Linked DNA regions of Anolis sagrei. The protein of the gene in region 2 binds, or shares a complex with, the protein of the main gene of each other region. Links are inferred from orthologs where the notes say so. Each region holds a gene or a part of one and is shown on either strand. Other genes may lie near its edges.

Region 1 (7,961 bases), about 6.0 Mb from region 2:
ATAATGGATATTTCTTTTCTTTTGGAATGCCTGTACTTGGATACTATGGTTTCAAACTTTAAATCTTTGGCTATGCTTACTGCTTATTTTATTTTGATTTTACATGTTTTATGTTAAACTTCAATTGTTATGGTTTTTTTTATTTCTTTTGGCAAACATTTGTACTGTTTTGATTTTTGTTGTACATTCTATGCTGCTCGTGTTTGTATAGTTGTTGTCTTGTAAGCCGCCCCAAGTCCCTCTGGGGAGATGGGGTGGGAAACAAATAAAGTTATTATTATTATTTGTATATGCACACATAGCAGAAGGAAACACCTTTCAGACCAAATCCAAGTATAAACAGAAATGCATTTATATTTTATATACACATATTCTGAAGGTAATTTTATGCATTTTTTTTTAATAATTTGGTGCATGAAACAGTTTGTGTACACTGAACCATCAAGAACCATCTTCTTCAGGAATGTTTAGCCTGAAGAAGAGAAGGCTGAGAGGAGACATGATAGCCATGTATAAATATTTGAGGAAGTCATAGGGAGGTGGGAGCAAGCTTGTTTTCTGCTGCCCTGGAGACTAGGAAGCGGAACAATGGCTTCAAACTACAAGAAAGGAGATTCCATCAGAACATGAGGAAGAACTTCCTGACTGTGAGAGCCGTTCAGCAGTGGAACTCTCTGCCCCGAAGTGTGGTGGAGGCTCCTTCTTTGGAAGCTTTCAAACAGGGGCTGGATGGCCATCTGTGAGGGGTGCTTTGAATGCAATTTTCCTGCTTCTTGGCAGGGGGTTGGACTGGATGGCCCAAATTCTATGAAAGGAAAGGTGTCACTTTCCCAGCCGAAGGACTTTGGAGTGGATTGTTGTAGGTTTTTCGGGCTGTATGGCCATGTTCTCTCCTGACATTTTGCCTGCATCTGTGGAAAGCATCCTCAGAGGTTGTGAGGTTTGTTGGAAACTAGGAACATTGGGTTTATATATCTATGGAAGGTCCAGGGTGGGAGAAAAAACTCTTGTCTGTTGGAGGTAGATGTGAATGTTCAAATTGGCCACCTTGATTAGCATTTGATGGCCTGACAGTTTTTAGCCAAGCACATACAACCCAGTGATTCCAGCCATGAAAGCCTTCGACAAGACTTTGGAGTATTTGGGATTTCAGGATAATGAATGCTAAACCTGTAATAACATAGCAAACTTGGGCTCTCTAGGTGTTTTAGACTTCAACTTCCTACTGGCTGTTAGGAATTGTGGGAGCTGAAATCCAAAACACCTAGAATCATAGAATCAAAGAGTTGGAAGAGACCTCATGGGCCATCCAGTCCAACCCCCTGCCAAGAAGCAGGAATGCTGCAATCAAATCACCCCTGACAGATGGCCATCCAGCCTCTGTTTAAAAGCTTCCAAAGAAGGAGCCTCCACCACACTCTGGGGCAGAGAGTTCCACTGCTGAACAGCTCTCACAGTCAGGAAGTTCTTCCTCGTGTTCAGATGGAATTTCTTCTCTTGTAGTTTGAAGCCATTGTCCACGTCCTAGTCTCCAAGGAAGCACAAAACAAGCTTGCTCCCTCCTCCCTGTGTCTTCCTCTCACATATTTATACATAGCTATCATATCTCCTCGCAGCCTTTTCTTCTTCAGGCTAAACATGCCCAGCTCCTTAAGCCGCTCCTCATAGGGCTTGTTCTCCAGACCCTTGATCATTTTAGTCGCCCTCCTCTGGACACATTCCAGCTTGTCAATATCTCTCTTGAGGTCCCCAGTTTGCCCATGCCTGTACCTACAAGATAAAATGCAGCCTGCAATAAAATATGGGGCATTGTGTTTCTGCCACAACACTTGTAAACAATACACACACATGAGATCAATGTGACTCTGAAATAAAGGAATATGAGGAGGAGAAAGAAGGGAAGGGAAACTGACTTGATAGACCAGGCCTGGGCCAACTTGGGCCCTCCAGTAGGATGTTAGAAATTGTGGGAGTTGAAGTCCAAAACACCTGGAGGGCCCAAGTTTGCTCAGGCCTATATCAACAAGATAAAATGCAGCCTACAATAAACATGGGGCATTGTGTTTCTGCCATAACACTTGTAAACAATACACAAACATGAGATCAATGTGACTCTGAAAGAAAGGAATATGAGAAGGAGAAAGACGGGAAGGGAAATTGACTTGATAGACCAGGCCTGGGACAACTTGGGCCCTTCAGTAGGATGTTAGAAATTGTGGGAGTTGAAGTCCAAAACACCTGGAGGGCCCAAGTTTGCTCAGGCCTGTATCGACAAGATAAACTGCAGCCTGTAATAAATATGGGGCATTGTATTTCTGCCATAACACTTGTAAACAATACACAAACATAAGATCAATGTGACTCTGAAAGAAAGGAATATGAGAAGGAGAAAGAAGGGAAGGGAAACTGACTTGATAGAGCAGGCCTGGGCCAACTTGGGCCCTCCAGTAGGATGTTAGAAATTGTGGGAGTTCAAGTCCAAAACACCTGGAGGGCCGAAGTTTGCTCAGGCCTGTATCAACAAGATAAAATGCAGCCTGCAATAAATATGGGGCATTGTGTTTCTGCCATAACACTTGTAAACAATACACAAACATGAGATCAAAGTGACTCTGAAGGAAAGGAATATGAACAAGTGGAGAAAGAGAAAGACAGGAAGGGCAACTGACATGATAGACCAGGCCTTGGCCTAACTTGGGCCCCCCAGGTGTTTTGGACTTCAACTCCCACAATTCCTAACAGCCTACTGGAAGGCCCCAGTTGGCCCAGGCCTGGTTGAGACCCTGCCTGGCTTAGTCCCGGAGCCCATCCATCACTGGGGAAGGCGAGGCCTGGCTTGAGAGGCCAACCAGGGCCCTGCAGCCGCCGGTACCTTGGTGAGGTCGATGCCCGAACCCACGAGTGGCAGCCCGTCCTCGTCCATCCCCGCAGGCGCTCATCGGCCCCTCCTCCAGCGGAAGAGCGCCTCGAGAAGCGAAAGAGCCTCTTCCCGGAAGCGATCGCGAGATCACCCTCCACCCTGACCCGGCTCATCGGCATTTCAGGCGCTTGGGCTGCGAGACCGGAAGCCGCCGCTCTCTGAGCCGCGTTGCATCATGGGGACTGTAGTTCTGACACCCGGAAGTCTCTAGGAAAGTAGTTTTCAAATACATATGGATTCCATCTGCCTCGTTTTCCTTGAGGTGATCTGCAGAACGCGCTCTGGAGTTGTGCCTGAGGGCATGTCCACATAACCCAGAATATCAAGGCAGAAAATCCCACAGTATCTGCTTTGAACTGGGTTATCTGAGTCCACACTGCCATATATTCCAGTCCAAAGCAGAAAATGTGGGATTTTATTCAGCTGTGTGGAAGGGGCCTGAGTTACTTTAATTATATTTCAGTGTGTACCTATCTGTATATGAACTTATATGGGGATGTCAGTGAATATTTGTATTCTTTGGAAATATATTTTTGTGTTTGAATATTCCAAATTTGTGTGTGTGTGTGTGTGTACACATACACACAGTATATCCCAATTAAACATAATTATGTACTATATGCAGCAAAGCCTAGAGAAGACTATTATGCTGGGGAAAGTGGAAGGAAAAAGGAAGAGGGGCCGACCAAGGGCAAGATGGATGGATGGCATCCTTGAAGTGACTGGACTGACCTTGAAGGAGCTGGGGGTGGTGACGGCCGACAGGGAGCTCTGGCGTGGGCTGGTCCATGAGGTCACGAAGAGTCGGAGACAACTGAACGAATGAACAACAACATGTACTATATGCATATAGTTACCCATAATTATATTTCAGTGTGTGCCTGTCTGTGTGTGAACAACAAATAGTGTGTGAACAACTAATGCAGACGTCTATGATAATGATTGTTTTTGACTTGATATGTTTGTATAATGTGTTTTTAATTGCCTTTTTGATGTTGTTGTGTTAACCTTTACTATGTAAACCGCCTTGAGTCGCCATTTCGGCTGAGAAAGGCGGTATAGAAGTAAAGCAAATAAATAAATAAATTTGTGTGTATACATACGGGCGTATGTATATGTGTGTGTGAGATTGAGAGAGAACAATATATAATACTAATAGTATAATAATGGTAGTGTATTATGTGCTGGCACAACAGTGCCAGGAGATTTGAATTCCTTTTCTTGCACTGCTAGTTTGCATGAATTTATTTAAGCCATGCATTTTGCAATAAGGTAGCTTCCCTCAGGTTGCAATCATAGGGCCAGCAACCTGAAAAATCATTGTTAATCTTTAGACCCGCCCCTTTTCCCATGGTTTTGGAGGGAAGGGGGGATTTTGTTCAGTCTCACTGTTTGAAGCCTAAAAGCAGAACGTGTGGGATTCTTTTTCCCACCTGCACAAAAGCTTCACTTCTCACAGCTTTGCTGGGGGAAAAAGAAAGGTTCCACAGCTTTTGCTGGGGAGTAAAGAAATAGATCCACAGCTCTGCTGGGGGAAAAGGAAAGGTTCCACAGCTTTTGCTGAAGGAATACAGCCAGCCTTTGCTGGGGCAACAGGACAGTTCCTACAGCCTTCGTGTAGAAACTAAAGGACACCTTTCAGCTTGGCAGATCTACAGCCTAGCATTGATGTCTATAACCTCAATAGAACTTTGTGTTGGGAAATTTAAGGGACCCTTCAGCTGAGGCACCCCGGCGTCCCGTTGAGCATACAGAAGGCACGTCCTGTAAACAGACATTATTTCAGGCCCAGCATGCGACAGCACATATTATATATATTGTGGTATACTAATAATATTGCAGTATAGTGGTATAGTACCATATGGCAGTATATAATACTAATGTGCAATGCTAATAATATAATATATTTTATATAATAATATAATACAATGTAATATACTCCTAATACAATATCATATATTGTAATATAGTAGTAATAATAATAATAATAATAATAATAATAATAATAAACCTTTATTTATACCCCGTGACCATTTCCCGCAGGACTCGGTGCGGCTTACAAGAGGCCAAGCCCAAATACATCACAAAACACAACAACAATACAACAATAAATAACTCATAACAAAGCAAAACAATACAATAATGACACGACACAATTAAAAACCTGTGGTAGGGCCAAATGTAAGAATTAAAATTTTAAAATGCTGGGCATGTCCAGGGAAATAGGTTGGATATTTTAAAGATAGGTGGGCGTGCAGACAGTACTAACTCTCTCATAAAGTGCATTTGGAACATATTGCTTGGGAGTCCTTGTTCTGGGAAGGCATATAATAACAATATATTAATTATAATTACTACTGATAATATAAAACAATATATAATGATACAGTTTTATTTTTGTATATTTTTGTAATATTTTTGATTGTGAGTTGCTTTGAGTCTCCCATCTGGAGAGATAAAGTGGGATGAAATGAAAGTATCTCTGTAACTCATGAAGCTGCCACCAATTATGTAGAGCAGTGTTTCTCAACCTGGGGGTCGGGACCCCTCTGTGGGTCGCGAGAGAGTGTCAGAGGGGTCGCCAAAAACCATTAGAAAACATAGTATTTTCTGTTGGTCATGGGAGTTCTGTGTGGGAAGTTTGGCCCAATTCTGTCCTTGGTGGAGAACAGAATACTCTGATTGTAGGTGAACTATAAATCCCAACAACTACAACTCCCAAATGTAAAGGTCTATATTCCCCAAACTCCACCAGTATTCACATTTGGGCATATTGAGTATTTGTGTCAAGTTTGGTCCAGATCCATCATTGTTTGAGTGCACAGTGCTCTCTAGATGTAGATGAACTACAACTCCAAAACTCAAGGTCAATGCCCAGCAAACCCTTCCCATATTTTCTGTTGTTCATGGGAGGTGTGTGTTCCAAATCTGGTTCAATTCTGTTGTTGGTGGATTTCAGAATGCTCTTTGATTGGAGGTGAACTATCCCAGCAACTACAACTCCCAAATGACAAAATCAATCCTCTCCACAATCCCACCAGTATTCAAATTTGGTTGTATTATTGTATATTTGTGCCCAGTTTGGTCCCGTGAATGCAAATATATCCTGCATATCGGATGTTTACATTAGGATTCATAATAGGAGCACAATTACAGTTGTGAAGTAACAACGAAAATAATGTCATGGTTGGGGGTCACCACAACATAAGGAACAGTATTAAGGGGTCGCAGCATTAGGAAGGTTGAGAAACACTGATGTAGAGGATGAGGCTTTGTTTATTTGGGGGTGAGGCTTATATGAGAGGGATATTTCTAAGACACCTGTTTATTTCACTTTAGTATGTGTAATCCAATGCAACCAGTTTATCTTTGACTTCACAAAATCTGCAACTTCTTTTCTTTTGAGTAATCTTCTCTTAAATAAATAAACCTGAATTCTCAGAATCTGAACTGAATATAAACATTTGTTTGAAGATTTCTCAGGTTCACAATGCTTGGCGGTTACATATTATCTTATTATTGTTACACTTAATTCTTGACTCTTCCAAAAACATATAACTGTTACACTTTTAACAACAGATTTTCTTCTGTCTCTTTAGTATCTGCAGTTTAGACTTATAAACTATTCTCAGTCTCACTCCTGTTACTTCAGATTTGGCTTTTACTCTTAACTACTCCACACTGGAGAACAAATACCTGGCTCACTACTTAGTGCAGCCTTTCTTTCCCTGACTACCTGTTAGAGCTTAAACTGTTTGGTCTAGTTCCACATAATTATAAGCAACCATCCTTTGGGCTCATCCAGCCACCAACTGACCCTTTTCAAATCAACATTCTTTTTTTTCAGTGGCAGTTGGCTCCGGCCCTTGCTCTCTTGCCTGGGGAGTTATGTCACCATGGCCTGGGCTTCTAGCCACCCCCTAACTAACCAGCCCATATATCCCAATATTAATAAACATACCCCAAAACCTAGACATTTCGCTACACGGGATATAAATAAATGAATTATATGCAAGCACATACACACAGCTAGCTTCCAACTGCTGAGGCCAGGCAACAAACTGCCACAAAAGCACATGAAAAACCCCTTAATGTGCATCAGTTCTGTGTGGCTTTTGTAATCACCATCTGGGTCTTAAACTGGTTCTGAAATTTTGTATGCACTTTCTTCAATATCAGTTTGAAGCTGCACTAAATGTTCAGTTCATATGTGGCTCAGGGAGTAAAATTAATGTGATTCAGTGTCCCTTTAACTACCATGGCTCCGTGCTGTGTGGAATCACGGAGGGCGTTATTTTAAAAGCTCTTTAGTTTTCTTTGAGAACAGTGCTGGTGCCTCACCAAACTGCAACTCCCAGGATTCCATAGCATTGATCCATGGCAGCTAAAGTGGTGCCCAACTGCATAAGTGCTAGTGCAAATACACCCAGAGAGACCGGGAAAAACTGTAATAGAGGAGGACAGTCAGCTAGGGTGAAGAACAGAATAGAGTTATTGGGAGCTGTGAATAATTGAACACTACAGGAGTTATTGCGCGATCTAAGTATGTCCTAATAAACTTCTGCTAATTCATTCTCTTTTTTAAACAACTGTGGCTGTTACTATCAAATTTAGATAGACTATGTGATTATACTTACCACTGTGAATTCATGGAACACATATTGTTCCATATAAATATGACCTTAAGGCCCAAGTACCTAGTTCAAGGAGGGATCTTGATTGACGGTAAAATGGTGAAGATGACCAATGTAAGCTTAAGGTTTAGCACTGTGAGGCAAGTCTGGAAAGAAGCTCCATCACAGCTCCTCATCCCCTTTGCAGAGAAACCTTTCTGACTAGCCCAAAGGCAAACCCACTCTAAACAAATCTTGCAGAGACAACCCCATGATAGGGTTGCCTTAAGGTCATCATATTTAGAGTCAGCATATGTTTCCAAGAACATGAACAAACATGATATACACAAACAAAAATTACTATCCCTTTCAAGGGCAAAAATTACTACCCCTTTCAAGGAAAGAAGTACAGCTATTGTTGGCATGGA
Region 2 (8,038 bases):
ATGGAGTGCCATTACCTTCACGTCAAAGTGGTACCTATTGATCTACTCACATTTGCATGTTTCTGAACTGCTAGGTCGGCAGAAGCTGGGCTTAACAGCAGGAGCTTACCCCGCTCCCCAGATTCGAACTGCCAATCTTACCAGTCAGCAAGTTCAGCAGCTCAGTGGTTTAACCCACTGCGCAACTGGTCTTCAGTTGTAGAAGACCTTAAAATCAGTGCCTTGCAAACAGTGGTTCCAAATCAAAAGATCATTCAAATACATTCCCAACTGGGTTACTCTATGAGGCTATTTCTGTTAATTTCTGGGTGTTTCTTTTCCTTTCCCACAGCAATACAGCAATGTTACAACTTTTAAAAGCCACTGTCCCTCAGTGTCACCATAAAATAGGCAGACATTTCATGCAGATGCGTACTACCAACATACGTCTATATTAACAAAAAATTTTTAAAAAATAGAATATAAAACGTGTATGATTTTTTGCACTTCCTATCCACTGTAGAGGAAACTAATTTACACATTCAACATAGTGACCACAGATGAAAGGCAGAGCCAAAGGTGTAAACAGCACCAGCTGGGAGTGGTTCCAAACCACTCCAATTGGATACATTTAGAAGGATTAATCAAGTACATAAGCCATTAGAGAAGGACAGTACAATCCTGACACAGAGTTGCATGACGTGCATTCCCAACTAACTAAGGGGTAATTGTGAGGTGCCTTGTATTTAAAATAGCTGATACAGAAAGATTTGATAGAGTTAATTTGCATCTACATTAAGGGCTTCGTGTTAGGATTCCTCTGAAATAAGGGAATGTGCTAGTATCCTATAGCAGTGCTCTCTGTATTGCTTAATGTGTGGGACTAGCATCACATGGCACCACATGACAACGCCTCCTCCTTTCTTTCTTGGAAATTAACTGTGAACCAGCAGTGGATAGGATATAGACTGGCACCAGTCCATGGACCTCCTCTCTCTCACAGAATATGTGGCTCACAGACTTTAAGAGGCGTAGCTTACAATATGCTCAGATCCTATATGAAGAGATATGTTTTCAGTTGAACTCGGGACTAATGACTCATGATTAATTGATTGGCTTATTATTGCACAAGCTTTCTTTCCTATCATGGGTTCTGTATTTTTTTTTTATTTTTTTTTTACAAAACAGCTTCTCTGGAAGTGCTCGGATGTAACAAACTAAAATTTGAGTTGCTGCAAGTTTTCTGGACTGTATGGCTATGTTCCAGAAGCATTATCTTCTGGTGTTTTGCCCACATCTATGGAAGGCATCCTCAGATGGTGTGAAACTAAAATCTCCCTGCATAATCCAGTATAGACACAAAAAGATCAGAAACATGCATTCTCCTTTTAACCAATCACAGTTAGTATTCGAAATGACTACAGGCTCGTTCCAAATGAATCAAAACAACAGTTTACTAACACACACCAACAGCATCAGAAACTGAAATCCAATTCTGGCTTGTTTTGTAAAGTTGATATTACAACTAAGCAGTTTGTCAAGTTAAGACGCAATGCAAAACTGCTGTTAGCTGACAATGGAAGGAAATGCTTCCTGTCTAAGGAGAGGAATGAACACACAAACCCAACCATGGTGTGAGAACAATACAGAATAACAAATTAGATCTACAGCCACCCCCCCCCCCCAATTGATAGCTAATGTGTCAGCACTGCAATAAACAAATTATTCATTTCTATCCTGCCCTTCTCAACCTGCAGGTGACTAACAACATGCATCTAAGCAAAAATTCAATGTCTCATTATACAAACCAAATAAAACATAACATTAAATCACTAGAAACAATAGAGCGTGCTTGCTCCATCAATCTTCATCATTTACACAAATGACCAGCCACTGCCAGAAGAGACAGAGAGTTTCATCTATGCAGATGATCGTGTCATTACCGCTCAAGCAGGGAGCTTTGAAATGGTTGAACAAAGGCTCTCAGAAGCTCTAGGTGCTCTTACTGCCTATTACAGGGAAAACCAGCTGATCCCTAATCCATCTAAAACACAGACATGTGCTTTTCACCTCAATAGCAGACAAGCATCCCAAGCTCTGAGGATTACCTGGGAAGGAATCCCACTGGAGCATTGCAGCACACCCAAATACCTGGGAGTCACTCTGGACCATGCCCTGACCTACAAGAAGCACTGCCTGAGTATCAAGCAAAAAGTGGGTGCTTGAAATAATATCATACGAAAGCTGACTGGCACAACTTGGGGATCACAACCAGATACAGTGAAGACATCTGCCCTTGCGCTATGCTACTCTGCTGCTGAGTATGCATGCCCAGTGTCACATGCATTATGGAGGACCTTTTTGCAGCAACACCAGAGGCACTCCCAAGTGGCCATTCCTAACAGCCTCAGGCCTCTTCCTTAAGCGGCTGAGGGGGGAAAGGAAAAGGCCTGAGACTGTTAGGAATGGTGGGAGTTGAAGTCCAAAACACCTAAAGGGCCCAAGTTGGCTCATGACTGATCTACACTCTATATTAATGCAGTTTGACACCACTTGAACTGCCATGTTAATTTGGGGAGTTGAAGTTTGGTGCTGCACCAGCACTCTCTGCCAAAGAAGGCCAAAAACCTTGTAAAACTACAACTCCCATAACTCTACAGCTTTGAGCCATAGCAGTTAAAAGTGGCAATAGTTTTACAAGGCCTTTTGCTTTCTCTAAGAGGGCTGGCGCCTCACCAAACTCCAATTCCCATGACCCCACAGCATTCAGCCATGGGAGTTCAAGTGGTGTCAAACTGCATTCATTCTACAGTGTAGATGCACCTCTTCTCAAAGCTCTGAGGGAGAAGAAAGCCTCGGCTCTCCCTTTGGGAAGGAAGAAGGCAACCAAGTCAGAGAGGGAAGAATCCCCGCCTGCTTCTCACCTGGAATGAGGCGGCACCTCGAACCCCCCTTGCAACCAAGGCGACGGCGCTCTCCAGGAAACGGCACTTCCGCCCACACCTCGTCTCCCTTTCCGCCCGCAAAGCTTCCCGCATGACGCCCACTTCCGCCCTCGCTTGACGTCACTTTCCTACGGGTCCTCCCTATGCTCAGAAAGGGAACGTATTCCCCACTCGTTGCCAGCCCGTTGCTTGCTGGTTGTAGGGAGTTTCACATGTACTCAGCTCTGCTTTGAGTTCAGTGGGATTTGTCCTTGGAGAAGTCTACAATAGGATTGCCTCTACTGAGTTGTGAAAACTTTAATGGACTCTTAACTCCCTTCTTCAATTTGTAGATGCCAGAAAATACTATAGAAAGGGTTGGTTTGGGGGTTGGGAATTGGAAACACAGTGTATGCCAACGAGGATTGTCCTTTCGTTGTTGTTTATTCGTTCAGTGGCTTCCAACTCTTCATGAACTCATGGACCAGCCCACGCCAGAGCTCCCTGTTGGCCGTCGCCACCCCCAGCTCCTTCAGAGTCAAGTCAAGTCTTGCTTATAGCAAGATGTTTAATCGTTCAGTTGCTTCTGACTCTTCATGACCTCATGGACCAGCCCACGCCAGAGCTCCCTGATGGCCGTCGCCACCCCCAGCTCCTTCAGAGTCAAGTCTTGGTTATAGCAATATGTTTAATCGTTCAGTTGCTTCCAACTCTTCATGAACTCATGGACCAGCCCACGCCAGAGCTCCCTGTTGGCCGTCGCCACCCCCAGCTCCTTCAGAGTCAAGTCTTGGTTATAGCAAGATGTTTAATCGTTCAGTTGCTTCCAACTCTTCATGAACTCATGGACCAGCCCACGCCAGAGCTCCCTGTTGGCCGTCGCCACCCTCAGCTCCTTCAGAGTCAAGTCAAGTCTTGGTTATAGCAAGATGTTTAATCGTTTAGTTGCTTCCAACTCTTCATGAACTCATGGACCAGCCCACGCCAGAGCTCCCTGTTGGCCGTCGCCACCCCCAGCTTCTTCAGAGTCAAGTCTTGCTTATACCAAGATATCTAATCAGCAATACATAGATAGATAGATAGATAGATAGATAGATAGAAGATACAGAATGGGGGATGCCTGGCTTGACAGCAGGTTTTGGAGCTGCAAGGCTATTCAAGGTTAATCAAGTTGGCCAACTGCAACATTCACATCGGCCTCCAACAGACAAGAGTTCAGTGTATTGTCGAAGGCTTTCATGGCCAGAATCAGTTTTTTAATACTGGTAGCCAGATTTTGGGTTTTCTTGGTCTGTAGGTGGTTTGTATGTTGTGTTTCCTCATCAGCTTCCCATCAGCTACAAGAGTAAAGATGAAGATCCACCCAGAAGAAAAGTGTTCTTGCTATACATCAAGGGAACCACTGACCGCATAGGGAAGCTGATGAGGAAACACAACATACAAACCACCTACAGACCCACCAAGAACATCCAACAAATGCTACGTTCAGCAAAGGACAAGAGGGATCCTCTCACCTCTGCAGGAGTCTACCGTATTCCATGCAGCTGTGGACAAGTCTACATAGGGACCACCAAACGCAGCACTGCCCAAACACGAATCAAGGAACATGAAAGGCACTGCAGACTACTCCAACCAGAGAAGTCAGCCATAGCAGAGCACCTGATGAACCAACCTGGACACAGCATATTATTTGAGAACACAGAAGTGCTGGACCACCCTCACAACCACCATGTCAGACTACACAGAGAAGCCATTGAAATACACAAGCATGTGGACAATTTCAACAGAAAGGAAGAAACCATGAAAATGAACAAAATCTGGCTACCAGTATTAAAAAACTCTAAAATTACAACAGCAAAACAACAGAGAGTAAACAATCAGGCACATCAAATCACCACTCAACAAAAGATCCCCCCAGGCACTTCCAAGCCATTAAATGCTAATCAAGGTGGTCAGTTGAAACATTCAAACCTAACTCCAGCAGACAAAAGTCCTTCGTCCCACCCTGGTCATTCCACAGATATATAAACCCATTGTCCTAATTCCAACAGACCTCACTACCTCTGAGGATGCTTGCCATAGATGCAGGCGAAACGTCAGGAGAAAATGCCACTAGAACATGGCCATATAGCCCGGAAAAAACTACATCAACCCAGACAAGAGTTCTTTCTCCCACCCTGGACATTCCACAAATATATAAATCTCACTTGCCTAGTTTCCAACAGACCTCACAACCTCAGAGGATGCCTGCCATAGATGTGGGTGAAACGTCAAGAGACAATGTTTCTGGAATATGGCCATATAGCCCAGAAAACTCACAGCAACCCGATGATTCTGGCCACGAAAGCCTTCGACAACAGATAATATGATGATTTTTTTTGCTAGAAAGGATACATATCAGTGTTTAGTGATGTAATCCATTTCAGCTTTAGTTTATGCTCTCCAACTGTTCCACTTTGGCAAGGAGAGTCCCATGTAGTCCTCTGTCCTTATATGTTTTCAGCTGTTTTAAAAGTGTCCCAGTTTTTCTCACCTCCTTTCACTCCCCTTCTGGGGGACATGAGAGAAGCCTCCTCGCAGGATTGCAAGACATCCGGGCGTCCCCTGGGCAACGTCTTCGTAGACGGCTGATTCTCTCACCCCAGAAGCGACTAGAGGCAACTTGCAGCATGCAAGCAAGACAACCACTCCCCTCCTTTGTCCTCAGCTTACTTCAATGGCCACAAACGGAGTGCAAAGTCCAAAAGCAGTTTGCGACCAGCTCAGAAAGAGCAATGGCAAAAGTAAACTGCTGCAACCTATCCTAGCTCATTTGTATTTATTCATTAACTTTTGCTATCTAGACCACATATTCTGGATCATATCTGTCCCAGTTTGCATCTGTGACATGTTGGAGATTATGTTTGATTTCAGAATGCATTTTAAGTACTTTGTTACTCATTGCTTTTCCTGAATGTTTAACTAGTCTTTGCTGCTATGAGATAGCAATGGCCACATCAACACTGCTATATAATGCAATTGAACTGTGTAATATGGCTGTCTTCACTGCCATATAATGCAATTCAAACTGAATTATATGGCAGTGTGGACAGGGCCTATGAGTTCACAGTTTATGTATGGACCTGGTGAATCCTATGTTTAAGCTTTCTCTTGCCGGCATATAATGGTGTTCCCTGCAGTCATGCTGGCCACATGACCTTGGAGGTGTCTACGGACAATGCCAGCTCTTTGGCTTAGAAATGGAGATGAGCACCAACTCCCGAGTCGAATGTGATTAGACTTAATGCCAGGGGAAACCTTTAACTTTTATAAATGGTAGGGATCTAAGAATTAAAGGGTTGCTTTGTGGAGCAGTGCCAATTTGTACTTGAAGCTGGTCATTTTTCATTATGGAAGAGTTATTTGAAGTATAACCCAGAATGATATCATTAAACTGGAGCACTGAACCGATAGCTACATGGTTTAATTTATCAATGATGATTTGTGTTATACTTAAAAATAACAAGATGCATAAGTACACAACAAACCATAATTAGTTTGGCAGCATCTGAAAAAAAGATGTCAAAGTAGTAGTGGATAATAAATATATGTCATGGCTCAAAGCTTATCCCATTTTTGGTAGGATTAGACTGCAATGACTCATCTATTCTATTTTGATATAGGGCTGGTCACCATAATTCCAGAAGGACAAATCAGAGAGGTGCGTGTACTTCTTTATTTGTGTTATTGAACTATTTTATCTGGCCTTGTATCACTGAACCTCAGGCTGGCGTGCAAGGAAAAACCATGTAAGCCATTTGAAACAGTGCAGAACTTAAAACAAAAAGGTAATTTAAATTAACATGAAGCATGTTAAACAATTTAACAACTTAAAACAGTTTAAAAAATTAAAGCAGTTTAAAATTGGGCACATGTACATGTTGGAAAAGATACATTTAATAATGTTTTATTTTTTAAGTCAACACCAGCAGTCCTCTGTCCTCCAAGTGAGAGGGCATTACACAAACTGTGGCAAAAATAGGAACCAAATGTGGTTTCCACAAGTTTTATACTCAGTGAAACAGACACTGAGATTCACACCATTTCTACATTGTACATGCACTAAAAAAGTTTTTTTTATGCGAATCAGTCTCATATCCCTCGACTGTCCCCATTTAGCAAGGACAGTTAAAATTAATCCTGTGTCATCTCATTTTTTCAGAATCTTTTAAAACGTCCCAGTTTCTTTCTACTTCTCCCTTCCTTCAACTTTCTTCATTTGCTACAAACCGAATACAACATTGAAAAGTAGTTTACTCTCAGTTCACTCAGCAGGTGGAGAAGAGAGATGTGGGCAGAATCCTGCCCTTCCCTGAAGACTCAGGGAAGGCAAACTATTACAGGTTGATCCTAGCTTGTGTGTTCTTCCTTTTTCTTACCTTTCACTAGCTTGACACAATCTGAAGTTATTCAGCCACATAAATCCCATTTTCATCTGAGAAATGTTGAATGGTGTGCAACCTCAGTATTTTTCTATTAATAATATTATTGTAGGTTCTGTCATTTGTGGCTTGATATTAAATTGCTGCGCAAAGATCCAGCAATAGTTTGGTTTATTTATTACTTGTTTATTCTGCCCTTTTCTCTCTAAGCACCTTAAGAAAGGGTTCCTTGACATTTTTTTCATCTTTATGGAAGAGGCTAGGCTCATATGCAGTCGCTGATCCAAGATAATCCACAGGCACATCTTCATCATGCCTTATCCCAAAAGGAGATGAATGGTCTCTCCCTCTATCTCAACTCTCCTGCCTTGGCCTCAAGGGAGATAAGAAGAGCCAAGCACAATCCCATCGTATTTTGGCCCAAAAAGAGATGAAAAGTCCTTCTTCCATCCCAACTTCTGCTGAGGCCTCAGAGAGAGAAAGGGAGAGGCAGAAGCAGAAGAAAGGTCCTCCCTCCATCCCAGCTGCCACTGCCATAGCCATGAATGGAGAGACATCTATAGTTCCATCACAGCTATTCCCAGAAGCAGTTGATAAGCCGTACCTCTATCCAACTGCCACTGCCCGGTCTCAAAGAAAGGAAGGGAGAGGCAGGCCCATCATGCTATAGCCCAGAAGAAGATGGAAGGTCCTACTTTCATCCTGGCTGCCACT

Evidence for each region. Proteins that work in one complex are often made in the same cells at the same time.
Region 1: WASHC1 (region 2) and WASHC3 share a complex: the UniProt entries of both Homo sapiens proteins name them as parts of the WASH core complex. The link is inferred for Anolis sagrei from reciprocal best matches to the Homo sapiens genes WASHC1 and WASHC3.

What each region holds. Positions count from the first base shown.
Region 1 is NC_090025.1:171,511,074-171,519,034, reverse strand, and holds the start of WASHC3 (WASH complex subunit 3), read right to left. Parts: upstream 3,047-7,961; 5' UTR 2,924-3,046; coding exon 2,873-2,923; intron 1-2,872. UniProt on the Homo sapiens protein: Acts as a component of the WASH core complex that functions as a nucleation-promoting factor (NPF) at the surface of endosomes, where it recruits and activates the Arp2/3 complex to induce actin polymerization, playing a key role in the fission of tubules that serve as transport intermediates during endosome sorting.
Region 2 is NC_090025.1:177,533,725-177,541,762, forward strand, and holds the start of WASHC1 (WASH complex subunit 1), read right to left. Parts: upstream 3,020-8,038; 5' UTR 2,904-3,019; intron 1-2,903. UniProt on the Homo sapiens protein: Acts as a component of the WASH core complex that functions as a nucleation-promoting factor (NPF) at the surface of endosomes, where it recruits and activates the Arp2/3 complex to induce actin polymerization, playing a key role in the fission of tubules that serve as transport intermediates during endosome sorting.